Drosophila melanogaster: one gene and its partners. Changing the gene in region 1 together with any one later gene gives a genetic interaction. Each region holds a gene or a part of one and is shown on either strand. Other genes may lie near its edges. The genes, in order: sav, kibra, Herc4 and sd.

Evidence for each region.
Region 2: of sav (region 1) and kibra, changing one suppresses a phenotype caused by changing the other (phenotypic suppression), as found in Drosophila melanogaster (one study listed by BioGRID).
Region 3: of sav (region 1) and Herc4, changing one suppresses a phenotype caused by changing the other (phenotypic suppression), as found in Drosophila melanogaster (one study listed by BioGRID).
Region 4: of sav (region 1) and sd, changing one suppresses a phenotype caused by changing the other (phenotypic suppression), as found in Drosophila melanogaster (one study listed by BioGRID).

The regions. Positions count from the first base shown.
Region 1 is NT_033777.3:23,056,467-23,063,974, reverse strand, and holds sav (salvador), read left to right. Parts: upstream 1-2,670; 5' UTR 2,671-2,791; coding exon 2,792-3,603; intron 3,604-3,991; coding exon 3,992-4,945; intron 4,946-5,016; exon of another isoform or gene 5,017-5,018; coding exon 5,019-5,079; 3' UTR 5,080-5,366; downstream 5,367-7,508. Other genes in the region: CG17111 (uncharacterized protein), read left to right, coding at 22-219, 282-1,200; Ublcp1 (Ubiquitin-like domain-containing C-terminal domain phosphatase 1), read right to left, coding at 1,296-2,098, 2,156-2,315. UniProt on the Drosophila melanogaster protein: Plays a key role in the Hippo/SWH (Sav/Wts/Hpo) signaling pathway, a signaling pathway that plays a pivotal role in organ size control and tumor suppression by restricting proliferation and promoting apoptosis.
Region 2 is NT_033777.3:14,720,479-14,727,515, forward strand, and holds the start of kibra (kibra), read right to left. Parts: upstream 3,784-7,037; 5' UTR 3,096-3,783; coding exon 2,833-3,095; intron 1-2,832. Other genes in the region: CG7530 (uncharacterized protein), read right to left, coding at 4,681-4,911, 4,979-5,452, 5,562-5,669, 6,712-6,849. UniProt on the Drosophila melanogaster protein: Regulator of the Hippo/SWH (Sav/Wts/Hpo) signaling pathway, a signaling pathway that plays a pivotal role in organ size control and tumor suppression by restricting proliferation and promoting apoptosis.
Region 3 is NT_037436.4:1,311,191-1,320,415, reverse strand, and holds Herc4 (HECT and RLD domain containing E3 ubiquitin ligase 4), read right to left. Parts: upstream 6,721-9,225; 5' UTR 6,508-6,720; exon of another isoform or gene 6,442-6,507; 5' UTR 6,407-6,441; coding exon 6,326-6,406; intron 6,259-6,325; coding exon 6,081-6,258; intron 5,944-6,080; coding exon 5,707-5,943; intron 5,531-5,706; coding exon 4,804-5,530; intron 4,738-4,803; coding exon 4,476-4,737; intron 4,416-4,475; coding exon 4,092-4,415; intron 4,032-4,091; coding exon 3,741-4,031; intron 3,682-3,740; coding exon of another isoform or gene 3,679-3,681; coding exon 3,083-3,678; intron 3,026-3,082; coding exon 2,800-3,025; intron 2,745-2,799; coding exon 2,631-2,744; intron 2,568-2,630; coding exon 2,415-2,567; 3' UTR 2,086-2,414; downstream 1-2,085. Other genes in the region: sturkopf, read left to right, coding at 7,504-7,696, 7,756-8,486; Ctr9, read right to left, coding at 8,708-9,225.
Region 4 is NC_004354.4:15,811,908-15,819,282, reverse strand, and holds the start of sd (scalloped), read right to left. Parts: upstream 3,985-7,375; 5' UTR 3,553-3,984; intron 1,133-3,552; exon of another isoform or gene 765-1,132; intron 1-764. UniProt on the Drosophila melanogaster protein: Transcription factor which plays a key role in the Hippo/SWH (Sav/Wts/Hpo) signaling pathway, a signaling pathway that plays a pivotal role in organ size control and tumor suppression by restricting proliferation and promoting apoptosis.

The DNA of each region.
Region 1 (7,508 bases):
TATATCATTTGCATTATTTAGAACGTTCATATCTGCTCTGGTGGTCATCCAAAACAATCCAAATGTGCAAACCCAGGGCGACCGGCTCATCAAGGTTGGCTGTATACAGAGCAATGCCACCACATCGCTGGGCGTTTCGGTTCGGGACAGCAGTGTGGATAGCTCAGAGCCTGTGCCCAGCGCCATTGCACTGGAGTCCTCATTGGAGTACACAGAACAGTGAGTGTATTCTTAATAGAATCCCTCAAAATGCTTAATTCTATCACAATCGATACCTGCAGCATGTTCCCACACGAGGGTGTGGTTCACTACAACAGCAGCACTGGGCCCCATCCGCATCCCAGCATCTCGCTTCAGATTTTGGATCTATCCCACCAGCACGAGACCAACGACGTGCAGATTGGACAGAACCTGGAACTACAGATTGTGGCGGAGTACAGCCCACAGCAGTTGGCAGAGCACATGGAGTTGCAGCTGGCACCACTACCCGACTTTCGTGCTACCTCGCTGGTGGCCAAGACAGCGGACAATGAGAACTTTGTGCTGCTGATCGACGAGCGAGGATGTCCCACAGATGCCAGTGTGTTTCCCGCTTTGGAAAGGGTACACACAGCCAGCAGGAGCATGTTGCGCGCTCGCTTCCATGCCTTCAAGTTCTCAGGAACGGCCAACGTAAGCTTCGATGTAAAGATTCGCTTCTGCGTGGAGCGCTGCTCGCCCAGCAATTGTATTAGTTCATCCTGGCAACGGAGAAGGCGACAGGCTGACCAACCAGATCGTAGACCGGAAGACCTACGAGTTCAGAACCCCGTGTACATCTCCACGGTGGTGGATGTGGCTCCGCAACCAGACAACTTTACCAGATCGCAGGAGGAATTGCCCCTCAACTACAATATCCGGGTGCACGGTCCGGACCAGAGCAACACCAATAGTTATCTGTACGGCGAGCGGGGAGTGCTGCTCATTGCTGGCATAGACGACCCGCTGCACCTGGATAACGTTTGCATCAACCAGAGCCTGCTGATTGCACTGTTCATCTTCTGGCTGATCTGTCAAGTTGCCCTGCTCTTCGGCTGTGGAATGGTGCTGCAGCGCTACCGCCGGCTGGCCAAGCTCGAGGATGAGCGACGCAGGCTGCACGAGGAGTACCTGGAGGCGAGGAGAGTCCACTGGGCGGATCAAGGCGGATACACACTCTAATTGACGGCTGGAACGCAATGCGTATAAAATGCATCTTAATTTAATAAACATAAATCTAACATAAATCTAACAAATGTTTGCAACCGAGGATAAGTTCAGGAGTTCTTCTTGGGATGGTAGTGCTCCCACTTGCGATGGTTTAGCGAATTGAAATCCGGGCAGTGGTGAGCGATTTTGCGCAAATAGTCGGACAACTTGAGCAGCTCGGTGTCCGTGCCACGGTTGAGATGAGCCTGACGGAATGGGCGGATCTTTAGGCCGGACTTTGGGTTCATAAGGAAGTTGCGACGGATGTCATCAAACATGATAGTGTTGCTCGAGTTGTATTGCTTGTACAGGGCCCAGATTACACCAAGCGGCTTTACGTCCACCACACCGCGCTCCGGCACATGAACTGATATCATGGCGGTGGAGTCCAGATAGAACATCACCTTGTAGTTATCGTTACTGGCCACGCCCAGCAGGCGCATCTTTTCCTCGATCCAGCGCATGCTGGTGGCGGACCAGATGACAATGTCGTAGTCCTCGTAGGCGGAAGTCAGAAACTCGTGCAGATACGGACGCATTAGCTCCGTGCCTGTTTCAGCAGGCGATCGGTGATCGAATAGGGTATAGTCTATGTCCAGGACAAGCAGCTTCTTGCCCTCACGCGGCGGCGCTAACTCCTTGATCTTGTAGTCTCGCACACGACGCTGCACCTTGGCCAAATAGACGGCGGAGTGCTCCACGGACTCTTCGCGTTCATCGGCGTCATCGAAGTCGTCGACCACTTCGCCAATATTATCGGGCAGGCTGCACGCATCCTCGATATCGGCCTCTGTGGAGCCCACCATCATAAGCTTAAAGTTGGGCTTCAGCTCCAAAGCGCTGATCTTCACATTGTCGGCTGCTGTCTTTCCTGCAAGTCATTGGATCTTAAAACTGAAATATCCCGAAGCCTAGGAGTGTCACGCACCTTTGTACTTCAGGTTGAGCAGCTTTTGACGTTCCGGACGCACCTGTGTCTTGCGGAATATCTCGTGACGCAGCACTTCCACGGTGTCCTGGTCGGTGAGGTCCACCGGGTACTCCTTACCACTCCATTTTACAATCACTACCACTTCTTTGACCTCCATCTTAGCTGGTTTCTATTCCGCTATTAATTTATCACACCATATATGGTAATGTATGTTTGTTGGATAGAATCCAGCAAGTGGTTTGCAATAGTGTACCTTAAAGATATTAACTAATTTATTAGAAGACCATATAAACAGTCGAGTTGTCAGAAGTCGATAGATACTATCGATTGCAACGCCCGGCGTTATCGATTGCAATCGGCTTGCAATAAAAATAATGATTTTTTGATTATATTTTTCAGAGATTATTAAAAAATATTTTAAATTTTTTAAAATTATATATTTAGCAATTAAAGAAAGTCATGCAAAGACATGAGGAATGTCCCCAAGTTGCCAATAGGCGATTGTTTCGCCAGTTCATTGGCCACACTGGTCACCAGCTGAAAACACAAAAACCGATCGTACAGCATAAATTTAGCTCGAAAATGGACTAAACAAAGACAGCGATCCGGAATCCGAGCGGAAACATAGTCTGCATGAACTATCTAACGATCCTGCTGTGCAACCGAAAACCGACGATGCTCTCGCGCCGGAACAAGGAGAAGTCCCAGCACAAGGAGGGCGTGGTGGGGAAGTACATGAAGAAGGACACCCCACCGGATATTTCGGTGATCAATGTGTGGAGCGATCAGCGGGCCAAGAAGAAATCGCTGCAGCGCTGTGCGAGCACCTCGCCCAGCTGCGAGTTCCATCCGCGCAGCTCGAGCACCAGTCGGAACACCTACTCCTGCACGGACTCGCAGCCGGACTACTACCATGCTCGACGAGCACAGAGCCAGATGCCCCTGCAGCAGCACTCCCACTCGCATCCTCACTCTCTGCCCCACCCCTCCCATCCGCATGTGCGTAGTCATCCTCCCCTGCCGCCCCACCAGTTCCGCGCCAGCAGCAATCAGTTGAGTCAGAACAGCAGCAACTACGTTAATTTCGAGCAGATCGAGCGGATGCGCCGTCAGCAGTCGTCGCCACTGCTGCAGACCACATCATCGCCGGCGCCGGGAGCCGGAGGATTCCAGCGCAGCTACTCCACCACCCAGCGGCAGCATCATCCCCATCTGGGTGGTGACAGCTACGATGCAGATCAGGGCCTGCTAAGCGCCTCCTATGCCAACATGTTGCAACTGCCCCAGCGGCCACACTCGCCCGCTCACTACGCCGTCCCGCCGCAGCAGCAGCAGCATCCACAGATTCATCAACAGCACGCCTCGACGCCGTTTGGCTCCACGCTGCGGTTCGATCGAGCTGCCATGTCCATCAGGGAGCGACAGCCCAGGTATCAGCCAACTAGGTAAACTGCCTCTTGAAGTACTATATTTGAATAGATAGCGCGCGATTGATAAAGTGGGTAGAGATAATATGAGCAGCTCTTGATTAAAGGAATAATCCGTAAAAACTACATATTGTCAAAAAGTGCTTAATATTATTATAACTTTTAAACAATGACAATGCACGAAATGTTTTATTTTCGAAACATTTATTGTTCAAAGATTTTTTATTTGATAACAGATTGCTTTATTTATTTACAATAAGAAAAGTTGATGTACAAAACCGGTTTCTACTCGCCTTACAATAATTAAAACAATAACACAATATATGATTTTCTGTACGAGGAATATAATGGAATATATATGATATATACAACATTTTTAAACACATTTTCTCTTCTGTTTCCACAGCTCTCCGATGCAGCAGCAACAACAACAACAACAACAGCAGCAGCAGCAGCTGCAGCACACACAACTGGCAGCTCACCTGGGCGGCAGCTACTCCAGCGATTCGTACCCGATCTACGAGAATCCGTCCCGCGTCATCTCGATGCGCGCCACGCAGTCGCAGCGATCGGAGTCGCCCATCTACAGCAATACGACGGCCTCGTCGGCCACGCTGGCCGTGGTTCCGCAGCATCATCATCAGGGTCACCTGGCGGTGCCATCTGGAAGCGGGGGAGGATCCCTGAGCGGCAGCGGTCGTGGTGGCAGTTCTGGCAGTGTTCGCGGCGCCTCTACCTCAGTGCAATCACTGTACGTCCCACCGCGAACTCCGCCCAGTGCGGTTGCCGGAGCGGGAGGCAGTGCCAATGGGTCGCTGCAGAAGGTACCATCACAGCAATCGCTCACGGAGCCCGAGGAGCTGCCTCTGCCGCCCGGCTGGGCCACTCAGTACACGCTACACGGTCGGAAATACTATATTGATCACAATGCGCATACCACGCACTGGAATCATCCGTTGGAGCGCGAAGGTCTGCCGGTGGGCTGGCGGCGGGTGGTGTCCAAGATGCATGGCACCTACTATGAGAACCAGTATACCGGGCAGAGCCAACGTCAGCATCCATGCTTGACCTCCTACTATGTCTACACGACGTCTGCGGAGCCACCGAAAGCGATTCGACCAGAGGCGTCGCTCTATGCCCCACCCACGCACACTCACAATGCACTGGTGCCGGCCAATCCCTATCTGCTCGAGGAGATCCCCAAGTGGTTGGCCGTCTACTCGGAGGCGGACTCGTCCAAGGACCACCTGCTGCAGTTCAACATGTTTAGCCTGCCGGAGCTGGAGGGCTTCGACAGCATGCTGGTGCGGCTCTTCAAGCAGGAACTGGGCACCATCGTGGGCTTCTACGAGCGCTACCGGTAAGTGAGCGGCCACATGCCGCTGCATTCTCCGCTCTCCGAAAAGCCACTACTCTCTTGTTACACCTTTCAGTCGCGCTTTGATACTCGAGAAGAATCGACGCGCCGGCCAGAACCAGAACCAAAACCAGTGACCCGGTGACCAGGTGACGACTGACTCAGACCACATACTCGCCAGCAGCTATATGCACATCATAGTGCTCCTGTAATCGACCTTTAACTTATTTAACCATCGACTCATCGCGAAATCAGTGCCTTATACGAAACCAGACGAGATGGTAGCCAAGCAGATCCATGACAGTTCGAATGCCTTGATGAAACGTAGAATTGTGCTACGTTCTATATAACCTTAATGTGATTTGAGCTTGGCGTTTGTTTGTAATGTGAGCAAAGAAAATTAAACTGGTTTACTGATCATCTTACCTGCCGAGCGCAATTGTAATCGATGTGCCACCTGAAACCCCACAGGTATTTAACCTGGGAGTCCGATTCATCGACGGATGTTTTGGAAATTCAGCGCCGCGAAGTGTAAATAAAGGGCAACAGTTGGTGGCCAAGTCTTACTCGACTTGGCTTGGCACATATTTCCGAGTTCCATGCCAAGTTTTCGATTCGCTTGCAAAAATTATGCATTGGGCACAAGTGAATCGTGGCCGATTCTGTATTGGCAAAAAAAAAAACAGCGCTCCAATAGAAAGTGAATCTTATGTTTGTTTTCGTTTGGCTATGCTTATTTTTAGTCGAACCTGATAATTCATTCAGTCGCCTCTTATCGAATGCTTATAAAACTTTATAGTCACTGTTTCTGCAGGTCCCTCAAAAACAGTTTCTACTGCTGATAAGAAGTTTTCGAAGTCTGGGGAGTATTCGGCATTGGAAAGGCCAAAAGTTGTGTTTTATTATATTTTGAACATATTAAACAGGATACATAAAACGAGAGTTTTAGATTGTAATTACATTTGTCATATCTTTTGCTAAATTGATAAGTAAACAGAAAATATGACTCGATGGATATTATTGACTAATAATATATATTTAGGGGTTTGGTATGATTACTTTGTACTGTGAGATACAAGTTCGTTTGTCCCACAGATACTTTTCAATTCATAGCTTATCCTACAGATACATTTCAATTCATAGCTTATCCCGTAGATACATTTCCATTCATTGCTTATCCCACAGATACATTTTAGCATATTTTTTTTGAAATTTGAATTTGAAAAAAAAGTGTTTTTTTTTTTTTTGTTTTGAGAACTACTCGTCTTGTCAAAATATTTAACTGTTCCCGACTGAAGTGCCCACCTTTTCGGCCGCCGGGTTCTCAAGTGCAAAAATAATGTATAATAAAAAGCCAAGATACGTCGGCGGTCCGCTCTCGCCCCACTTGTTGTTGCTGCTGCCGCTGGTGCGTCGCTGCCGCTGCCGCAGTCGACGTCGACTCCATCGCTCCAATATTTAAACGGATCCATTGGATCGCGCACTCAGTCGCACTGGAGAGTCGCCATCGCAGCCATCATCATAGCATTCCATTCCACTTGTAGCCATCGGCAGTCGCTCAATCGTCAGTTGGGACACATTATTTAACTTCATTCTTAACGTGAGTGAATTGATGTGTTGGGTGGCGATCATGCATATAGCATAGGCAAACAACTGTTCTAATCCGCATTATCTTAATCACAATAATCCGGCGGCTTATACAGATGTTTTGCGTTAGCAGTTGGCGGCTAAAAGCCTCTGCTTGCCCACATGCCAGTGAAAGTTCTAATCCGGCTCAAACAGACGCACAACAAGCGTATCTCGTGCGTGGAATCATGAATGAATAAATGGGTGTTACTGTTAACTAACAATGGACCTTTTTACCAATCAATCGTCTTATCTATCACCAGAATTGAAACAGAATTAGTGAATAACTTATGGTGCATATCAGTTGAAACATGAAGATTCGTGTGAACGATCGTGAAAGATATGGTGTTCGAACTTTAAATTACCCTTGTAGTTTACCACTCTCATTAGTTTTGATTTATGTAGAACCAAAATTTGGATCGTGACTTGCGATTAGTATTGCAATCGCAGTGCATTGCCCAATCTATTGATTATCTGCAACTTGTGGCAGACTGCCGCAATAATTCGACGGACACTATCAGCTAGCTCCATTGATTGAGATAAGCCCGTTCTCACGCGGTGTTTTACACTTCTTGGCAATCGCCAAGTCACGGCCCTCGCCATATAAAAAATATAGTATGAACAATCGGGAATCTTTTGGTTTTACGATCGACCGACAAAGCCCATGTATTTCCTGTTACGTCCATTTGGGCCATATAGGCACATAAAATGGGTGCTCCAACGCTTGCCGTGGGAAAGTGTGCTCCAATTGCAAAGTTGTAACATTGAGCGACATTTGATGAAGGTTACCGACTTTTATCTCGACAAAAACACACACGAATTCCAGATGAAGCGAGCGTGCGTAGTTTGCACTGCAAGTTTTTTTTTTGGAACAAATAGTTTTATGTTTATATCATTTTATATCATATTATATTCCTTATTGATTGAGTGTCTGCACGGG
Region 2 (7,037 bases), 8.3 Mb from region 1:
ATTTGAGTTTATGTAAAACAAACGAGTTCGAATCACTATCCCAACTGGTAGCCAAACGATTTTGTTGCTATTTCATACTTTGATTTTTTCCCCGTGCTTTTTTGGTTATTTCTTTTTTTTGTAGCTCCTATGAATAGATCGAAATACTGTCACCAAACACGTTTTCTGTCTAAAAACGCACACGAAAAATATTCCACTATGTCGCCGCCTTGTTTATGGCTAAACAATTGGTAAAAAAAATAATACACAAAAACTTGCGAAAAAATATGAGCAACGAAAGAAGAAGACGGGCGTCGAAAAAATGCCAAATCGCATGGCCAAGTCAAGTCGTTGTTAACTTTTGTTTATACAAAAAACAAAAGAGAGCCAACAGCAACGAAAATCACAAAAAATACCGCCCGTCGAAATGCTGTATGAACATTTACTTAAGTTGAATACGCTGCGAATTTTAAAATCCATTATTTTGATCAGTCATTTTATTAGTTTACAGACAAAAGTCATCTAATTAATTGATTGAATCTTACACGATTTACTATCTAATGAGGATAATGCCTAAACTTAAGCCGAATTTGAAAATTATAGACATTACAAACAGAATCTACTGTTAAACTATTGCAAACATGTTTATTTAATTTTAGAAAACCTTAGAAAAACCTGCGTCAAAGCCGGCCCAAGCAATTATCGGTAAAATATTTCAAGGGTATCGATAATTCGACCTTGCATGCTCATATTGGAATAGATATTTATTTTTTCTGTGATTTCTGTTGGCTGTGCTCGAAACGTGGCGAGGCCTTTAAAGGTTGCCCGAGGCCTGGCTCGCTTCGCTTTATTGTAGAAATTTATTTATGGTTTATTGGAATTTTTGCGCGCTACCGGCAGCAATTTTGAAAATTCAATAGCAATAGCAAGTTGGATGCGGGGGATCGATAGACAGCCGAAGAGGGGACCAAAAAGCGTATATGATTTGGATACAAAATATGCGCGACTGGGCAAAATACCAATAAGGGGTGTATACAGCATTAAATAGTTTTGTTTGGTCAATAGAAATGGTAAAACTATTTTGGAAAAATATGGAATAGTTAGTTAAATTCGAAGACATACTTTGCAGATGTATACAGAAAATACCAATAAAACATTTACTCTTGTTTTTATTTCTTATATTCTATGGTATCCCTCTTCATAATCTGATTGGTTTTTCAAATAGTAAGTAAATCCCCTAAGGTCATTTAAGCTTTAAATTTCTATAACCCCGAAATCGGAACGTAACGCTCATAGATCGCTGACTTTTTGTGCCCACTGGCAGACATTTGAACGACATGTGTGCATTTATAATCTACTTGATGCATAACCCTAGCAAATGCGCAGATGTTTCGTTTCAATTTCAAAGGCGGGCGGGCGGAAGAGCTGAAATTCCACAACGCTTAATTCAGTGAAACATTTTCAACAATGTCCATGCGATTTGAAACAAACAAAGGGAATGTTTGTGTTAATTGAAAGCGTGAAGCGCACACAGCACCAAACGAACTGAAACAATAAGGCGTACACAGATAGAAATGCACTGGAAAAAATTAATATTCAAGCTTTGATGGCTTAATAAATCATTTGCAACGTGATATTGAAATTATAGAGTGTGTCTAATGTCAATGAAAATGCTGTACAACTGCAGAAAGGCAATAAGCATTTGCTATCGAGCAATTGAAGATACAAAATCCATCTAACACTACACATTTCTCTATCTGTGAAAAGCGAAAAATTGAACTCAGCGAAAGAGAGGGCGAAGAATTTCAGAAATCAATTATTTCGAAACTGCAAAAATTCCTACGTACATTTTGCAATTGTTTATGGGCAAAGCAACAGACAGAGATGGCGAGTGGGGCGGCAGCGAGGGGCGCGAGCGAGATGGAAGACAAAAAATGTGAGCGAACGGCAAACTAAAATGTATCTATGAGATACATGGCCTGATCGCCAGCGCTCTCGCTCGCTCTCCTTTGGCTCTCTCGCACTCATTACGTATGAGTTTGTTGGTTTTGTTTTCCTTTTATTTTACAGATCATTCGCCGAGCTTTATTTAACTTTTGCTCTCTCTCACTCGAATTTTTGTTGTTGTATTTCCCTGGCTTTACAATCCATTTTTTGTTTGTTGCCACTCTCTGTTCAGTTCAGTTATATTCGGAGTCTTAATCATCGCATCGGAATGTTTACTCCAAGTTTTTCCCCCGTTCCGTTGCGTTTTGTTTTGCCTGCTGCCGCTGCTGTCTTGTTTAAAATATGTAATTTATTTTGCTGCTGCCTCTTTATTTTATTTTCCTTTTATTTTTCTTTTTTTTTTTTGCTTCATTTCGCCTCCACCGATCGCATTCCTTTACACACACAGCTGCAGCACGCACCTTTTCTTTCCGGTTCAAGAGCGCTTCGGAATCGGAATTTATATGGGTTTTTTTTTTAGCTCGTTTGCCGGAGCTTCCTGAATGAGTGAACTGCTGATCTCTCACCTGCGTTTTATGCCTTCTTAAGCCACTAACAACTTGCCAAGAATTTTATTCTATTTTAATTTGATTCTCAATGAGTTATCTGCTTCACTTATTAGCCATTAAGCAGCAATTGGGGTTTATAAGCACTCTTGATAGTTTGCGATGTTAAAGCATCTATAACTTATTTAAAACACAACCTGTTGGTTTGGTCATTCGTTATGTATGCCTCATTTCTGATAATTGTTCTAGTAGTTTTAATAAGTTTAAACTAACTTTCCAAATGCAAATATCTTATAATTATATTTCAGATCGCCCTTGTTTCAATTTCGTTTCTTTAATTGACCCTTTCCGGAACACTTACCAATCTCTGGGATCCAGCCAGGTGGTCTTCTTGTTGATATGATCTATGTAATAGGTCTTGCCATCGAAATCCTTGGCGATATCCCAGCCATCGGGAAGTGGGAAGTCGCTGTGGTGTTGTTGCTGCTGCTGATGATGCGTGTGTTGTTGTTGTTGCTGTTGTTGATGATGATGATGATGTTGCTGTTGCTGCTGTTGGGGTCGCAGGTGGTGGGGATGCAGATGATGCTGCGATTGCGATGCGGTTTGTTGCAGATTCGGCATTTTAACTTTGTTTCTCGCCGTGTACTTTGGTTAGTCTGAGAAAACGTCGTTGTTGCTGGATTTTTCACCCGACGCGCGCCTTTTCTTTCTTTTCGCTATTGCTATCTACGTTTGCTTCTTTTTTCGGGGGGTTTCTCTTTGCGCTGTTTACATTAGCAAAGACATTTCAATTCCGTTTCTTTTGCTCCGGCGATAATGGAGACCGACCCGCACACACACACACACAACACGGCCACACGGTGACGGGCGTAGAGGCACACACCGAGCCAACTCGAATACACACGCGCGCAGGGGAGAGAGAGCGGGAGAGCGCGGGCGCGCTCTCAATTATTTATTTACTTTTTTCGTAACTGCATTCCATTCCAGCTCAAACACACGCACACATATGGGGGACGAACACAAGCGCACACGATCACTGCTCACAGTTGGTGCTGCTTCTTTTCATTTCTTGTTGTTGCAAGCGTTTGAACTCCTTTACTTATTTTCTTATTTTCGCCTAATTGAAACTAATTAACGACGATAATCCAACCATCCACTTGGTGTTCACAAAAAAATATGTACTTCAGTTTAGTGAGTTCGCGCCGTCGCCGATCTCTTCGGTTCCGGAATTCCTTGGGGGAGCAGCAAAAAACACGAGTAGCGCGCTTGATGACCGTCCGATTCGGATTCGGAATTTGTTTTGGTAACATTCGCTGCTAGTGGTGTAGCAGAAAACATCGCATTGCATATCGATACACTCGCGGCGATGTTATTCGATGTATTGGTTGATATCGATATTATAGGCTGTATTGACGCGGTTGCAGAGATGCGATATTTAACAATCATGCACGAAAAGTATTTATTGTTATTTGGCTTGTGTAGTCCCCAAGCATAGGTGTAATTGTTGAGGGAAGAAAATAGGAGTTGTACGTTCAAAGATCGGCTTGGTAACAGGAACTAGTTCGGTTCTTCAAGCGATGTTAATCAAAGCCAGTTCCGATAGATCATGTTAACTCGCTCTGTTAACAATTACTGTTATCTTAATCCTAACATTTCCGTTACATTTTAAAAACAGAAAAAGAAAAAATTTAAAAAAAAAGACTGTAAACTGAGTTACGCATTTCGAAATCAATATGTATCCCAACCATAGATAGAAAAATAAATTATGTTTCCGAAACATAACTTCAATAAAACCACAATTTCGCTTGCTTTGTACGTTTGATATTGTATTTGCATTTTATGAATTGTAAAAATTGAGTCAACAAGACTAACACAGCTTCAGCTCAAGACACATGCAATTTCATTGACATTGTTTAATTGTATATATTAAAGGAAATCAATTAGGATATAAAGAGAGAAACCTTTTTGCCGCTTATGCGATGCCAACTATCTGGATCTGGATTGTCTAACACGAAACCCTAACTAATTGGTAAATTAAACATAAATTAATCATATCGGTCAACAACTACAACTAAATATTAGTTATTAGCGGATAAAGAGCGCCCCATAAACTATTTACACTAAGCTTTAGTCTACTAGAGTCCCGGATTCCATCTCCGCTCCTCGGATCTTCGGATCTTAACTCAGATGTTCGGATCTTCAAGTTCTAGGAGAGAACTGGTGCAGTGCATCCGTTATTCAGGCGATACTCGGCATAGACCAGTCCGGTGTTGTGCCAGTGATAGAAGGCGGCCACGATGATCAGGTGCCACCAGTTGTGCGAATGCCCAACGAAGTCCACCTTGCCGGTGAACCAGCGCTCCGGAATCTTGGCCGCATAGAAAACGAAGGCGACGAGGCAGAGCAAGTACATGAGCACGATGCGGGGCACCATCAGCTGCAAATGGTAATGATTGATGGATTAGCAAATGACAAGATTCCATAAATTTCCAACTGATGCCTACCCTGACTAGCTCGTTCTCCAGACCGCCCATGGCCACCGCCCAGTGGCCCAGAGGTATGATTCCATAGGCAGACCAGAGTAGCAGCACCGCCACCTTGCCGTTCATGGACACATTCAAACGGGGTATCTGCACGGCAATGGCCAGTGCGAACATGCCCAGTGCAATCGTGGAGTACAGGGTGCGCAGGAAGGTGTGGCACCAGAAGGCATAGTACATGCCACTGATATAGATGGCCACCAGCGACAGCGAAATGCCCAGGAAGTCAACGGACAGAAAGAGCTCGTAGTGCTCCTCCGATTTGCAGGAGAAGATGTGGTATATGGCGGACATCAGCATGCACAGACAGAAGCAGACCAGCAGGCAGACCACCAGCACCTGGTCGCTCAGGGAGGCGTGGAGGCGCAGGAACTGCAGATCGAAGATGGTCAGTCCAATGAACAGGATGCAACCGGCCAGATGGCTCCAGATGTTGATCTATGAAAAATATAGCAATAATAATGTTATAATAATAGGGAATAGAGTTTAAGGAAAACTATTGTAGCTCCAATTGGAATGGAGTATCATTCTAGTGTGGCAATCTTACCGTCTCATTGGTCCACCAGAAAATGCTCTGCAGGCACATTTTTGTGGAAGGTAGAAAGGTGCGGTATCCGCGACGAATGTACGGGTTGAACTTCAGGTGACTGGGGGCCTGTATCGAAAGCACAAGTGAATAAACATTCCAAATAAATACAAAATTTTCCAAGCCGATAAGACATGCAAATCGCATGCGTGTAGCATTGAAAATAAAATAAAAACCAAATAGACAAAATGACAAAATAAAATAGAAACAAACGGAATAATTCGAGGATCTGGCACCCCGCCGAATGTAAAAAAAAAAAACCAAAAAGCTTTCCATTTGCTTCAATTGAAAGAAAATAAAACTAATTAATCCAATTTGTGTTGTTAGCAATCTTGTATGGGAATTGATTAAATGCCAAATACTGTGTATATTATTTACTTTCTTTGAATTTAACTAGCTAAGTTTTATATATTATAAAAAATCCATTTAATTAGTTAAACAAGTGCTAAGCTAGTTTTGCACTGCATTTATGTATTATTACCTTAATTAATGCCTTTCAATCGGAAACAGTAATTATTTCAAGCCCGTTTTAAGCCCAGTTCGAAGTCGAATATTTAACTTGGTCAAAACTAAGCATGGTCCGAAAAACCCAAGAAATTCGATTCGGGAGTTACCTTGAGGATTTTCACAAACATATATGTATGTAACTTGCATACCACCCAAAGAAAACAACAGTAGCTTCTTTTTATTTGCCACCGCTATTTAAATATTTAATGCCCGCGAAGCACAGAGCTTTTTATTTGTTGCTAGTCGCGACCTTGATTCAGTTGGCATTTGGTGGGTTTGTTCGTTGTCTAATTGTATTATTTGGCAATTGCTGCCAACTCGACCGCCATGGCGGATTTCACATATTTAAGCGTTTTGGCCATTTTACAACGGTCGCTTAATAATGCTTTTCTGGCCATACATACATACGTATGACGATAACAATTGGCCAAAATCAGTGTTAAAGCCATGTAAAATGCAATGAGTGAATATTTTCTGCGATTTGTCCCTGATTCTGACGTATTTTTTCAATTCGCCAAACAAAATTTGCGATCAATTAGAATTCAGTGCGCGACAATTGGCGACAAATTGACCCTACCAAAGTTCGCGCGTGGGGTTAACTCACATCATCGAAATTGCACAGCCATTTGAATTTGGACAGCTTGTCGTCGTAGTTGGGTCCATGCCCCAGAATATTGGGCTCCTCATTGGACGGAAATTGATGCGCTGCGTCCACCGAATCCGCAACCAGTTGGCCATCAAGCTGCGAAAAGAGATTTAAGATGGAATTAGTTAAAATGGAGGAAACCCTATCGATTAGCGGCAATTCGAAACTTAATTTGAATTGAGGACAAGAACGATGCTCAAGATCTATACTCATATTCTTCCGCCTTAGAAAACTGACGTTGGCAACTGGCGGGTTTGTTTCTCTGCACATTTGTGTATATTTTT
Region 3 (9,225 bases), on another chromosome or scaffold:
ATTCCGATAAGAGAAAGTTCAAGTTTGTCATCAGGCCGCGATTTCGAAATTTTTTCAGGTGGGTGCGGGTCGCCGTTTCCCCTAGACACCAGGTTATGCTATATTTCGAATATTCCGTGGACTCCATAGAGTCAAATGGGCACATGACAAGGCTGGGCGATAATAAATATCGCAATTACCCGAACCAAAAGGCGTGCAATTTTATTTCCTTCTCCGGTTCTTCGTTTGTTCTCTTGGCCTCTGGGTTTGTTTGCCAAACGGTTAGTTCGCAGAAAGTTGGCATTACATCATTACCAAAATTCGGGTTTTCGTGATACGCTTGGTTTTCCAATTCGTTTCTTTTGGGTGCCAAGTGTGAGGCAATGACATTGGGGGCAATGCTTTGTGCACTCGAAAAAAGGTGTTCTACAATCGCCTCTAGTCTAGCTTCAATACCATTAAGTACTTTAAAAGTGAGCAGATCCCAGATATTTTAAGACTACAGGTAGGTATTTGACAATATTATTATATTGTTGCGAGCTTGTATTTGAACAGCTGCCAGATTTGGCGAATCATTCGGTTTCGTTTTCGATCCATTGCAGTTGGTTATTTTTAAGCGGCTTATTGCCGCTGTTTTCAAAACTGGGTCAAATTAATGGAGGGCCGTCGCAGTGTGGAAACGAAATTGAAATTTGATACAATTTCAATTGGTCAGCGAGTAGGCAAGCGGAGCAAGGGGATACATCCCCGCCAGCTATATCCACCGATTACTCATGTCTCCCCCATAGCCAAACACATACGCCCTGTTGACCCTCTTTGTGTGCCCCGCCTGTTTGTTCCTGCTATAAAACCTGGGCAAACAAGCTCATCCCCGGGGAGCGAGGGACAGGTGAACCCCCCCAGCCAGTTTACAAATATCCTCGCAGACGATGTGTGGAGTGAAGACCCAGGAAGCGAACGGAGGAGCGAGCGAAGCGGCGAAATTGAGGTGCCGGTGCCTAAACGCTCGCTTTATTAGAGGAGCATCACAATAAACCAGATCTCTTCGATTGCGGTGGCTGCTGCACTGGGAGAATCATCTTCCCATATTATTTATTATTTCAAAGAACCGATCATGAAAAAGCACCCTTGATTATCATTGAAAGTTGTTAGGAAAGTTAGAAACTGCGTAAACCATTTGCATTTATGAGTTAAACTAATCCTTGAGGAAACGTTTCTCGCAGTGCATTCCTGCTTTTGTTGCTCTTTTGTGCCGCCGCTGTGGCTTTTGTTGCGTTTGGTGTCCAAGTTCAAATCGTGCAAAGGAAAGAAAGCAGCGGAAGACGCTGCACAGATCACGACCACGGGCAAACCGGCAGAACCGCTTTTTTCGTATTTTTTCTTTGCTAACTTTTTTTTTTGAGTTATACACTCATGTGCGCGGCATGGTATCGCTGGATTTTGTGGCCCGGACATTTGTTAGCTGTCAGGATATGCAAAAGTTGCGATGGTAATTGATTTTGTAGGCCAGCTCGCCTCGTTCGCGGCATATAAAGCGAATTAAGAAGTTTGAGATGGACAAGCGACCAGGATGGCACACATGTAATTGCAAACTGGGGGCCTAAGTACCCATAATTTCACAAACTGTCGCCCGAAGTCGTTACTTTTTTGTGGTCGCAGTGCTCTACCTGTTTGAATTTCTTTTCCGATGCGGGTACCGTTAGCTTGACCCGGTAAAGGTGACGTTTGGACAACGTTTGTTGTAAGCGAATTGGTGTTGGTGGATAATTTGAAGAAGCGGGGCTAGGACGGCATATATGCGCGCAGTTTTCGAAATCGGTCGGTTGGTTAATGTCAAGCACCGCACGCCCAGCGCATGCAAATGAGCGTCCGAAAAAGTTCTCGGCGGCGAATGAAGAAATTAACGAACGAAATCCGCACGCGGCCGCGCACCTTGCCAAAGTTGAAGTTGAACTGACTTCGACGACTTCGATTTGCCGCCACATTTCGGGCTCAGCTGTGCGCCAACGGTGCTGCCAACGCGGCTCGTTTCCGGACAGAAGCGAAGCTATCGTTATCGGGTTTAAAGCTTAACCGTTACTGCGATCAATGAAAATAACAATATATAAGCCATATTATATAACTTTATTGGTAAAAGTTACACGGAAATTTAGACATTTGTTGTTGTCCTCAGACTGATGCACCAACCTTATTTACCTCCTTGAATTCCTTTCTCTCCATAACAATGCGATATTAATAACTAGTCTAGAGTTTAAAGCTATAACACGACATTGTACTTGCTGATTTGATCGCTGATAAATGAGTGTTCCACGTTGGGGTTGTCTTTGAAAGTAGCCAATTTTCATTCTTCAATCCAAAATGCGCGAAATCCGAAGATTTCGGAAAATACCTGTAGTTTGAGGTCGATGTAAAAAAATGGGTCCAGATCAGATCGATCAGACCAGGCTGAAGCCCTGCGTCTGCTGGATGGCCTGTAGCAGCTTGTACTTGAGGCGCTCCTTGGTCTTGTAGCGCGGCAGATCCAGCAGATTGAAGCACGTGTGCGCCACGGGCAGGAATCGTTCGTCCGGGGTGGGTTGAATGGTGAGCTAAATCGGTACGGATACGGTAAAGGACACACTTTGCAATATAGGTATAATCTAAGAACTCACTTTAAGGGCTTTCATGCCCTGGATGGGAATGCGATCGCTGCCAGTTAAAAAGAGGAGAAAACTCTTCTTTTCCGCCTCGGACATGTCATGAATAACCTCCCAGAACCATTTGATCTGCGGCAGATACAAGGTTAATGTCTAGGAAGACCATCTTTAGTTTACAACTCACTGTATCATCGACCGAAGTGTAGCCCTCCCGGTACTCGCAGTTGTCTTGAAGCGCCTGCCAGTCGTAATCCTCATTTCCCACCACCACGGCCATCAGCTCCTCCGGCTGGAATATGTGAATCACGCGGCCAGAGCACACCTTCATAAAGCCCTTGTGAAACGCATTGTAGTGCAGCTCGACGGACTTGTTGAATACGAAGTCAACATAGAGATCCACAAACTCCTGCCTGAAGTTGGATAATAGTTAGCACAGGTGCCGCAACAGAAATGGTCACTACACTCACCTGTTTTCCAGTGTTACGGCTATCTCATTGCCGTTGGGCTTAAGGCACTTCGTCTCCGCCTCCCCGAATACATCCCGCGATATCTCAAAGGTCAGATCGAAGACTTCCTTAAAATCGTCGCCCTGGTAGTCGAGCAGCGATTGCATGGAGTTGGCCTCCGGAGGGGAAAGCTGACGGAGATCACTGAGATCCACTGGCTTGCCCAGCAGCTTTTTGAACAGAGCCAGTGGGAATGGCAAGTTGATGATGGTGAAGTTATAGATGGCCAGACCGCAGAGAACGCCAATTAGGAAGTACATGTTTTCCGTCTCGAAGGTGAGATCTGCAAACCAGAGCAGACGCGACTGCTCGTACTCCTTAAACATACCGTACTTGGGATCGAGCAGATCCTTGAGCAGCAACATGAAGAACTCCTTGCGCACGCCACCCGCGTCCTCCGCCTCCTCGCCATGGAACTTGATTTTCAGCGGCTTCTTAAGATCACTCTGCGAATAATGCTGCAACTCTCGAAGGGAATCCTGCACCAGATTCTCACGCGTCACGTTGAGCACAATGAACTGCGAGATGGGCATCCCGTAGTTGAAAAAGGAGAATGCCTGCTGGATAAAAAAGTAGTTATTAACTCATAAATCATTTCTGTTCGGCGTCATTAACCCACCATGGTAGCCGCATTGGCCATGGCGGAGTGCATCTGGAGCGCCTGATCCGCTTGGAGTAACGCTGTTTTAGCAGACTGGTCGAAAATGAATGAATAGTTGCAAATATTGAAATCTCTGGCAGTGTCGGCCATGATCCATTTAACGTACTCCTGCTGCACGTCTGCATAATCCGAAAGATCAGGCCAGTAAAAGATTTGATAGTTTAGGCGATCATGGCGCTCGTTGTTAATTTGGCAGAGCGTTTTCATCAGCTTTAGAATGATCTCGAGTTCAGTGTTATATGGCAGCAGCTAGATTATGAATAGAGAATTAATTGACACTGGTATGGCCCTATATTGAAATCTAAATACCTGTTGACGTCTTTCGGCGCTGGGACTAGCGGCAGCCAAGCCCATTTTGAAACTTATAATATGGATGACAACATGCAAGAAGTTCTGGACAAGATGCTCGAAGTATTCAGCCGGTGTTTGGGCCAACCACTTGTTCAGCACTTTCCGTGGGTTCTCTGCTAGCTTAAATATGGCATTGGCAAACGGAACCTGCAGTGACTTGTAGTGCTTGGAGTTGACGAACTCGTGGTAAAGTGGGAGCAGAAGATATAATCGCATGCTCTCCACATCTGCCGGTGAGCAAACCAGCGAACCAACTAGCTCCTTGGTTATATTGTCCCAGATCTGAAAACAATGAAATGATTAAAACAGATACCAATGATGCTTGTAATGGCGAAAACTTACCACCTGCCTAATGCTTTCATTTTCCACAGCGCGCAGATTGTCGAATGCTAGTTGGGCTGCTTTCAGATCCAGTCCATGGTTGCGAACCGAGCATCCAAAGTGTCGGTCGTGATCCAGCAGAAAGGAACCATTCCAACACGCCTGGCTTCTAAATATTAGTTCAATAGAGCTCAGTAGATCCATGTCGCTTTGAAGGCCCTGCTTGCATTGAGCACACTGCTTGGTGACTTCTGCTGTTAGGGTTAGGATCTGGGATTTGGGGCTGCAAAGTAGATATATGTTTATAGTTTTATATGTTTATACTAAAGTAACACGCTTCTATAGTTACTTGTAGTTTCTGAAATCCTCGGGCGGCACCTTGTCTACAAACAAAGTTGTGGTCACAATCGACTGATCGCCACCTGAGAAAATCTGTCGGATGACCAACGAGACCTGTGAATCATTGGATTGCAACAGGGCTGATCCGCTGGGCGACACCCAAGGACCGATGACCACCTGCGGCAGCATCAGGCTCTTGGTACTCCTCGTGCCCAGCTGCCCAGAGCTACCCAAGCCAAAGGCATAAACTCTGCCGCGCGATGGAACAAGCGCCAGAGTGTGCCGATTGCCACAGGCCACCTGAGTGATGGTGCTGCCCATTAGCTCCATTACCATTCGCGGTAGCATCTCATTCGAGCTAAAGCCATGACCCAACTGCCCATAGGCGCCAGCTCCACAGGTGAACACCCCTCCCTCGTTGGTCAGAAAAACGGAGAACTCATCGCCGCAGGCCACAAATCGCACGCCCAGGGTGCGCAGCGTTTTCAGCTGGGTGGGATACGAGCGGTTCGTTTCGTCATTCAGTCCCAGTTGCCCGCAGTTGTTTCTGCCCCATCCGAACACCGCACCGGACTTGGAGATGAGGAACGAGTGATTGCCTCCACAGGCAATTGCGGCCAGCGGAATTCCCAGCAGAGTGGTTAGTCGGAGGGGATAGTTGCAATGTGTCAAATCATTGGGGGAGTTCACGCCCAGCTGACCGTAGATGTTGGAACCCCATGAATACAGCTCGCCACCTAGAAACGTCAAGGATGATGTTAGTCGGAAGGTATCGTTGTTTAGCTTTAGATAAGAATTGTTTAGTAATGCCCTAAACTTGGGAAATACAATTATCTTATCTTGTTTCAAGTAGTTCTGATGTGTATCTGTGTATCTAGTGAATGGAATCCATTAAATTTCACTCCATACTTACAACTGGTCAGTGCCAAGCTGTGATTGTTGCCGCAGGCGATCTGCACCACCGTCTTTGTGACCAGTTGCCGCACAACCTTGGGCAGCTGCACGATCTCCTTATCGGTGGCATGGCCCAGCTGGCCGCAGTCGTTGTCGCCCCAGCTTAAGACCTGGCCCCAATCGGAGAGCGCCAATGAGTGGCGGCTGCCGCAGCAGATCTGGATGATCACGTAATCCTGCAGTTCGGGGATAAGCACTGCAAAAAGTCGGCCGGAAGATGATTGCGGGGTTTAGACTCGGTTCACAGCAGTGGCTCGCGTAGTTGGTGAGTATGGAGATGAGGTGGAGTTAGTGGAGAGTGGACAGACAAGACGATAAATGAAGATTACATACGAAATGGCGACATACGTGGCCTTTTGGTGGGCAGATCGTGGCCCAGCTGGGAGTAGTCGTTGCTCCCGCAAGCGTAGACTTTTCCAGTGGCGGTCAGAAAGAGAGTGTGTCGGTGTCCACAGGCGACCTGCTGTACAGCAGTGTCCGGTGTCCAGGGTATCTGACTAGGTGTGAGGATCTGTGAGGAAATCAATGGCATACAAAAGTAATATCAGTGGGCTTATATCCGAAAGTCATCTATCTACCTGCTCGTCCTCGATTCCGCCAAGTCCCAATTGACCATGTGACGTGCTTCCCCAGCAATAGAGCTCTTTGCCAGATGCCATTGCTCTGGATCCGCCCAATAGCTCCTTCGGTTGTTCTGGGTATAATAATTTACTTGTTGGTGCTACAAGAATTTTCGAGAATGTCCCCAATTGTTAGCTACATTCTTTTGTGTCCACTTGCTCCCGATTCCAATTGCTCGGTTCATGCCTCGTCAAGCTTTCGATGGGTGTGCCTTCAGAATCTAAGTCTAATCCTGAATCCTGTTACCTACAACGCTCTATAAATTTTAGGCCTTCTAGAAAAAAAATATAAAAACTCAAAAACCAGCAACAAAAAACCAATAAATAATGGTGGCGATGCCAACTGGTTGGGATAGGGCCACATTGCCCACGTTGGCAGCCCTGACAATGGGCTTAAGCTAGGGCTGCATCGCTTGCGGACTTTTAAGATCCGCTTTGAAAAACCTTAAGATCGGATAATTCTCTAGAACTTATGCTGAACACGAATATCAAAATGTTTTCTCAATTTTTTCCGAAAAAAGAAACAATTTGCGATTTTACATATAAGTTTTGGTTAATAAAAAATGTATACGTAGGTAACTAATGTTAGGGAGTACTTTCGAATATTTAATGATGATAGGTAAAAGTTAATATGAAATTTATAAAAGCTTCTAGTACTGTAAAGAGATATCAATAGGTTGACAAATAATAATTTACGCCATAGTATTTTTTTTAAAGTTAATGCATTTTGGTTTTTTTCTTTTTTAAACAAAATTATCTACACTTTTTCTCTGTCTGAGCAATCGTTATCATGGTAAGTATCCGCTAATATAGAACATCTGATTTTGGCATAGCTTGCCGCCCTGGTTTCTGTATCAGCCGTTTTTAAGCCGCTGAACTTGTGACCTTTGTCCATTCTTGCTGGAAACAATTGGCCGAAACACATAGCAGTGTTTATCAGAGCTATCAACCCTGGGGATAAACCGCGCCAATCCTCAAGATTTGAAACTCGTGAAAGGCTGCAGCCGAGGTGGTTGGACAAAGGAAAACCGGTTGCCACGGGGATTAGACAACTCATCGCGTGTGAAAAGAGTGGGATCAACACAGGTGCCGATTGATTTTCAGCGCAGTTTGCCACGCCAACAGCAGCGGAAAATATGCAGGAGGCCTACGTCAACATCAACTCCATTCCCACCCACATATTCACATGGGGCAGGTGGATTGAGGAGACCATAACCGAGAAGGAGATCGTCATCTGCATAACTGGCAATCCCGGTTTGCCAGGTTTCTACACAGAGTTCGCAGGCACTTTGCAAAAGGAGTTGGGCGATCTTCCAGTTTGGGTGATAGGTGAGTGTGCTGGCGTTTCCACATTGAGTCGGTAATAGCACACTTGATGTTCCCTCCAGGGCACGCTGGCCATGATGATCCGCCAGAGGCCAGTATTCGGGAGGTTCCTCAACTCAGCGGCAACGAGGAGCTCTTCAATTTGGACGGACAAATCCGGCATAAAATCGCCTTCATCGAGAAATACGTGCCAAGTGATGTCAAGATCCACTTGATTGGGCACTCCATCGGAGCGTGGATGATCCTGCAGCTGCTGGAAAACGAGCGGATACGGAGTCGCATCCAAAAGTGCTATATGCTGTTCCCCACCGTCGAGCGGATGATGGAGTCGCCCAATGGATGGGTGTTCACCAAGGTGGCCATGCCCCTGTACTCCGTGTTTGGCTACATTTTCTTCAGCTTCTTCAACTTTCTGCCCGTGTGGTTGCGCCTGATGCTGATACAGATCTACTTCTTGATTTTCTCCATTCCACGACAGTTTCTGGGCACCGCCCTAAAGTACTCCAAACCATCGGTAGCGGAGAAGGTGGTCTTCCTGGCCGACGATGAGATGGCCAGGGTTCGCGGGATTCAAAGGGAGATTGTAGAGCAGAACCTGGACCTCCTCAAGTTTTACTACGGCACTACCGACGGATGGGTACCAATCTCCTACTATGACCAGCTCAAAAAAGACTACCCCAAGGTGGACGCCCAGCTGGACACCAAGAAGATCGACCACGCTTTCGTCCTGCGCCACTCGCAGCCTATGGCTGTAATCGTAAGAGACATGATCCAGCAGCACAGACGTGTTTGAAGTCGATTGTTGACCTGGCCCAGACAATCAGCCCTGTCCATTACCTAATCCATCCATGCCAATAGACTTGGGAATCCGGATTACGGTTGAACAGCAAACCAATAGCAATTACTCCACTGCCTTTGTGTGGCAATTAGTTCGTTTTTATTAGTATCTTTTTGCAGCTCTCGAAGACAACTCTAAATATAGTCAAAAGTGATTTAACACGGTTGAGAGGTGCGTTATTTTTCCGGGGACCCTGATCTGCTACGGGATTCGGACTTGGATCGGCTGCCAGAGCGAGAGCGGGATCTTGAACCCGACGGCGAGCGGGATCTCGAGCGGGAACCGGACTTTGAGCGCGATCTCGAACGGGATCCCGACTTGGAGCGAGACCTCGATCGAGATCCGGACTTGGATCGAGATCTTGAACGGGAACTCGACTTGGAGCGAGCACGGGACCCAGATCTATCCGATTCCCCGCCAGATTCGATGCGATTCCTGGCGCGCTTCCGCTTAGTTGCTTCATCACTGTCACTCCCAGATCCAGATCCACTTCTGCTCCTGCTGCGCTTGCGGCTAGCCTCGCGATCACTGCCGCTTCTAGAGGCACTGCCACTTCGGCTACCACTGCGATTTCGACTCCTGCTTCTACTTCTGCTCTTGCTGCGCTTGCCGTCAGACTCGGATTCGCTGGTGGAGATCGTCTCCTTGGAAAGCACCTTGAGGCGCTGCTTGGCAGAAAGCTTCTCCTTGGACT
Region 4 (7,375 bases), on another chromosome or scaffold:
CAAAGATACTCCATCTTAAAATGGATAATCTTTGCTTTAAATGTATGTACTATGCGCATTAAAAAAAAACGAGTGGATTTGTTCATAAATTAGATTGAAGCTTTCGCCACACATAAAAAGTAAGATTTCCCAACTTCTCTGCCCATTGGAAAGGAAACGCATTTGGCGATTGCCTCCGCGCCCACGAGCAAATTAAAATTCTTTGCAAATGAATAGAAACTTAAATAGTTTCAACACACCATTGTTTACGTTTTCGTTTAGTGAATATTTGGAAAGGGTTGAACGGCATTAAGCAGTGCGGATTGGATTCGAACATCCCCGGTGGACGGTGGACTCGATGAAAAATATTTGGCGCAGCTAAGGGATGGTGTATTCGCGTAGGGTATTCGAGGGTATGCTGTGTCTGTGGAACACCATGTAACAGGTACAGAGGATAGACTCTATTATATTACTAGGCAAGCCAGACTGCAATGGTTTTTCAATTCGAAAATAGTACTTTTCAATTGACAAATAGTATTGTAGTGCTGATAAACATTACGCTTGCGAGTGTGCAAAACTTTTTGAAAAAGGTAATGAGTATTCAAAGAGTCGAGATACTCTTGCTCTTAGTCGATTTTAATTAAATGTTCAACGCTTTAGCATTATTGAAACTCGAATGACAAGAAAGAAACCAATAAGATTTAGGTATATTTGAATATTTTCAAAAGAATCAAAGCATCTGCATATATCCCACTGAATTGAGCATCAGATGCCAATCCACTCACCCGATAACTCCTTGAATTCCTCGAGGGAATCTAAATGATTTGAGAAGGGCGCCACTGTAAAGCCGATATCGCTGGTGATATTCCAAAATAAGATTCAAAAAACTCTTATGGGCTCTTTTTTTTTCGAATACGAAGAAAATCGTTTCAGTCAAACATATCACTGCTGAGTGTGCACACGTACGAGTCTATATACATATCTATCGAATCATTATAATTTCAATTATTTTGTAATTTATTTTTGTTTTGTATTCGCCTTGCTTCTTCCACACAGCGTGAAAAAAAAAAAAAACAATCCCGGACGGCAGCGGCAAAGAAACAAAAACTAAAATGCGTCTGGTTAAGAGAAACGCGCACGTCAAACTGAAATGTGCCGTATAGTTTCCACATATTTCTATTCTTTGTTTTGGCCGGTTCCTTTTCTGCCCCTGGTGTTTCGCCCATATAAACCTATAGGGATGGTTGCTCTAGGCATTCGTATTCGTGAGACAGCGGATAGAATGCAGTGTGGCACATACCCTCGCAGCGTACTATTGATAGAATAAAATAGAATGGAAGTAGAAGCCTTCAAATAGCCAGCCTGCAGTGTGGGGCGTCAAGTGAGAGTCTGGGTCAGCAGGGGTATGATATGGTATGGTATGGTATAGTATGGTATGGCATGGTATGGTATGGTATAGTCTATAGTCTAGCATAGGTAAAGGTGTGCTACGGAACTTCAGACAGGGGGCGAGTCAACACTATCAAGGATCAGAGGCATGGTATGCTATGGTATCCATATATGATATGATAAGGAATAGAATGTTATAGTGTAAGGTATGGAATATATGGTATAATAGGCAATAGTAGTTTGTAGTCAGCTATGTAGCTTGCAATGGTAGTTAGTAGAGTAAATAATGGTATAGTACTGCATAGTTAATCTGCTATATTAAGAAGAAACTGGACTTAGTTCAGTTTAATAAAGTATGGTATAGATGGGTGTAGTTAATAATAGAATGGCGTCGTATGGAAGCAGTTCGCCAGTATCCAGGACAAGTCGGGACAGTTCGATCCCAGTTCTATCCTAGGCACAATACCAGAATTTCCCGAAACGGAAACGACTGTATGTTTGGCTATCAAAAAAGTAGAATGCATATTGCACAGCTTGGAAATGCATGGCGCAGTGCAGGGGTTGGGATCGTTTTAGGGGGTGAATGTGCCATTTTTCATAATCTCGTAAGCACTCCACGCACACAAACACACACACACACACACACACACTCACACACAAAAGGACGAAAAGGAGTGTAATGAAACGGACAAAATAGCTGAACCGTGCATTAATATTATCACATGGCATTTCAGAATTTCTGAATTCAAACAGCAGCGGTTCAGTTCGGGATAATTTCCAATTAGAAAAACTAGAAACAGACTTTCCTACGCTTGAACTCAATTTCCGCCTCGAAAACTCAACACGCAGCTGCTCGTTCTGTTCAGTTCTGTTCGGTTTTAATAAGGGAATGTGTGTTCTTTTTCCTGCCTTTTCCATTCCTACCCTTAGAAGCCGCAATTTTGTTGTGCGGCAATTGGAATTTATGGTATGCATTCTGCTTTTTCATTTTCTTTATGTATGCCCCGTCGCATACACATACATAATGTACATACATATATATATATCCGCTTATACATACATATACATACATACATATATAAACGAAGAATGTGCCTGGATGGGATGGTAAGGAGCTCGATGATGACGTACTTAGCGCACTCAGGATCAAAGTTGGGATCCGCAATCCCTACACAGCCAAACGCACTTTGACTTTCAGCAGAAAACCGTAACAGGTAAAAATTATTGTTCGTATCTTTTTAGTGACAAATAATATAAAAGGACAGTGCAATGCATTATCAAATTATTGACAATATGTTTAGTATAGCATATATATCCTATATTCGTGTGAAGGTGCTATCAAAAGGATAATCTTTTGGTTACATAAAATACAGATCAATACACATGATGTAGAGATCATTTTTTAGGTCTTCAAATTATTCCCAAGTCAATAGAGTTTTATAGGAAATTAAGGTGGCGATTCTAACCCTATAAAGTGTACAAATATATTTTCAATCAGCATAACGATCTGTAAAAAATTTTAATTATTCACAATTGCACTATAGAACTTAAACTGTCTTAAGCGAAACACTGTACACGTATTAATTCATTGATTATTCATAGGGCATATAGAGTTCGGTGCGCTGCCCTTTCATTATTTCAACCCCTAAAGCAACGCACTCCCATTTTCTGCTGCCGAAAATCTTTAGAAGTCAGCACAAACGAATTTGCAACCTGGCAAAGGTTAAAAAGGAATTTCTGTGAGGTGCAACGACAAAATAATTAATAATAAATCTTTTGTCCTCTTAGCTTTTAATGAAATTATGTGAGGTAATGTTAATAATGAACATAAAGGAATAATGAAATTACGAAATACTTTTCTAAGAGCAAGTGTTTAAGAACAGGCAGCTAGAAAATAGACAACAAATGTGCGAAGGAAGTGAAAACTAGAATGGTTCATTAGATATATTTACGATTTTGATCGGATATAGGATATTTTAAGCTAAAACAGGTGACTAAACTTTAAATTTTCCGAAAGCCTTTTGAAGTTTATATAGTTCAAATATTGTTGGAAAATTACGTACGTTTAACTTAACATAGGAAATTTAAGGCAGAAAACCATAATTGTGTAAAGAACTCATAATTTGCTAAAAGTTCTTCAAATTTATCATTCATTGATATGCTGGAAATTGAGTAAGTACTTACTTATTGAGTAAGTAACGCAGCAGTCATAAGAACGATCGGTCAACTAAATGGGCTGAGCTTGCTGTTTTTTTTTTTAAGTAACTGCGATTAACTTTATCACAATCGGATATGTTTTCGTTGCTCTTAAAGATATTCGCCAATGACTCATGACATACTCATTCCGTAGGCTACAGAAGCCCATAGCTGTGATAGCAACTGGTCATATACCAACGTGAGTAATACATTTTGGTTGTAACTCGTAGAGTATATGGTGTTCGGCTTGTCCAAGTTGACTTTTTCATTGTTTTCACTTCATTTTCTTTTATCACTTATCAATAGTTGCGTTGTTTGCAGAAAGGTATTACGATATTATTGTAAATATACACAGCTCATTTAGAAAATTCATTTCGTAGAATGCGATTCAGAAGTAAAAATAGTAAGTGAATTATTGTAGTTTTGCTTGAAAGTTTTTGTTTAAAACCGACAAGTTGCGAACAAGTGTTGTGGCAAACAATGCCCACAAGTATACCAAATCTTTTTCAGGTTTTTTTTTTTAATGATTCCAATAGGACATTCAGCTATTCGATTAGTCTTCGTTGCTCACTATTGCCAGTAAAGTAATAAAAATAAAAGTATATGTCCATATGTACATATATCTTTTCATAATGTGTATCTATGTATATGTGAACAGCAGACAAGTTGATGGCTCTTAAACTGAGGTAATAAATATATCGTAAAACAGCAGATCGCGTGGACATGTCAACATATTTCGCCAAAATCCAGATCGACAAAATCCGTATGTATATGATTTTTTTGTGCTGCGAATTGTCTCCCACACTGCATTTACAAGCTTCTGGCCAAAAATAAGATTATGCAATGCTGTGCAAAATGAACAACACATGCGAGAAAAGCTCTTTTCGAAATCCGCTCGGTTGGCAAAATATTTTCGAGCTAACCCCCCCCCCCCCCCCCATTCATCTTATAAGAACCACTGTGTTATCTTAAACCTGACTAATCCATTGAATTATTCATCTTGGCAATCGAAAGTTGGTGGCAGCTTGCCCTCTCTTTTCGGATTTAGAACGCTTAGATTTAGATTTGGGTATGTATGTATGTATGTATGTATGTATGTATGGTTTACATGTACGATATGTATGAGATATGTGCAGATGGGTGGAGAGTTTACTCTATAGCGATGGAGAGAAGGTGCCCTGCAGTTCAGGTCTCCGTTTTCGGGTGACTTTCTCAAATGAAAACCCGCCATGCATGTGCATGTGCTTTGCATTGAGAACCCACGAGGAAAGTCACCAAAGAAAAACCAGAGATCGACAAACTTTTGGGCGCTGGATGTGGAGTGGGTGTGTGGGGTGGGGGTGGAGTTGTAGGTTTATGGCATAGAGTTTGGATTTACGAGGTGTGTCTTTGTATGACTGGGTAATTCGGATGGGCAACGGACCTGCCTGTTGTTCTGTCTTCTCGGCAACTTCCAACTCGCTGCAGCTCAGGTTGTTCTGCAATTGCAGCAGCCCAGTGCTGCAAGTGCTCGAGCTGGTGATGTTTTTCATGCAGCCAGCTTTTTTTTCGTAGATTTCCTTTAGGTTTCGCTATTCACGAGTATGCCCGCCCGGAGGAATAGGAATACGACTTCGAGTACGAGAACGAGTACGGAACGAGTGCGGTACGAGTACGGTGCGTTGTCCACTTAGTTTACGGAATTAAAAGAAATCTGTTCGCGCTAGATTTAGACTCTGATGTCACCGTCTCCACCAACAACATCAAACGTTGTTGTCGTCTCCGGCTGGTCAAAGGCAAGGCACTCACTCTTGTTATTATTATTAGCTTGTAACAGTAACTGTTTTTCAGCTTTTCAGTTTTTCAGGCTCTGCGCTGGGCGTGTTATTATCTATGTCGTTGATAACACGATGGAGCGGTTTGTTAATTTATATTATACATGTGTACAAGTTATGGCAGCGTCTTTGAACGGGTCCGTTGACGGGGGCGGGGGGTTTGTGCTGACTTTCAAACGAAAACCGAACAAATGAAACCCTTTCGCTTTGGATTATGTGGCTCATTCGATACTTGTTTTTGCACTACTTTACTTTTCGATTCTACGCGTGCACACACATGCAAACTCGCAATACTTACTCACATCTGCAATAATTCATGAATTGGTTCGGAGTTCTTAGGAAGTGAGAAAGATCTTTTTCGGATTCCGTTAAAGTTAAACAGGCAACACACACACACACATCTGCATCTTCTCAATCTCACTCTATTCTCGCTCTCCCGCTCTCATCGCTCTCCCGATATATGTACATATATATATAACTGTGTATTTTGTATGAGCAGCTTTGTACAATATCGTGGTCTTTGTGAAAGTGAGAATGTGTCAGTAAGCCTTTCAGTGGAAATAAGGCGCAGCTGCGGCAATAAGATGAAGAAAGAAGAATGGCCACCGGAGAGCCAACTATTGATGGGATAGGTTTGGTTTAGACTTTTTCCTACACTTCGTTAGTTAATGGAGAAGCTCGTAATTGAGATGGGGCTCCTAGGCGATGACGATTCTGATTCTAATTCCGATTCTGTTTCTGGTGATGAAGAAGACGATGACGATGACGATGGTATCCCGTACATGTGTATTTTCTCATCTGCTTGGGGCCTAAGCAAATAGTCTGTTTTTCTGCACAAGTGCAATTCTAATTGCATGCATGTGTGTGCACATGTGTGTATTCGCGTTTATGGGTGTGCAAAAGCGTACGCACATGTGTGCAAGCACATGTACATCTGTATTTAGATATGTATTTTTATGAAATTTTGATTTTTTTGATTTCTTTTTTCATTTTTCTTTTTTTTGGTGTGCCACCTAGAGGCATAGGATATTATGCTTATAAAGCTACACACGTCCATATCTTGCGATGCCCTCCTCCCCTCCCCACACACGCCTACTGTTTATAAGATAGATATAAGAAATAGATAAAACAAAAAGACCAAAGAGAGCGCAAACGAACGAGCGAGCGAGAAGGTGAAACAAAAAAGTGGCCACATCTTAAGATACATTTTCTTTAAATCTTTCCCATACAGATATTACAAACACAAAACAGAACAAAATTAAAAAAAAAAAAAAACAAAAAAAAAAAAGAAGCAGGAAAAAAACCAGAAGAGGCAGCAGAATATCCAAAATTGCAAATGAAAATCGCTTTTAATAATCTTAAAAACCCACGCACACTTTTACAGCCGCTCACGGCTGTACGAAGCAAAAAAAAAAGGGGGGCGAGGCGTCTGCGGCGGTGGCAACGGCAACGGGGGGCGCACTCACAATACACCACACACAACAACGAGGCAAACGAAACAACGATGACGACAACGAAAAATCGCGGAAACACTGCGAAAAACGCAACGCGCAGAAGCGAGAGAAACTCATCGACTGAATCCAAATTCGAATCAATACAAAGAACGACGCCGACGTCAGCGTCGATAACACACCATAGCTGGTCGGTCGGGTCTGGTTGATGTTGTTGCCGTTGTTGCTGTTGTTGTTTGGCTGGATTCGTGCCGTTGTTGTTGGCTTGCTTGGCCTGGCTAACTCAACTTTAACTCATTCTCTGCAAAATACAGCAAGAGCAGCAGCAGCAGCAGCAACAACAACAATGTGGAGGACTGCCAGCATAACTATAACTGGTGGATCTGGTTGTTTAGTTTCAGTTTCCTAACACAAGTGATGACTACACTGGCCATAACACATACACACACACACACACGCGCGCGCGCAGAATACAACCCGATCAAAACCCAGAAAACAGCACTATATCACCTACACAAGTGCATCCTACACACGCACACACACCCA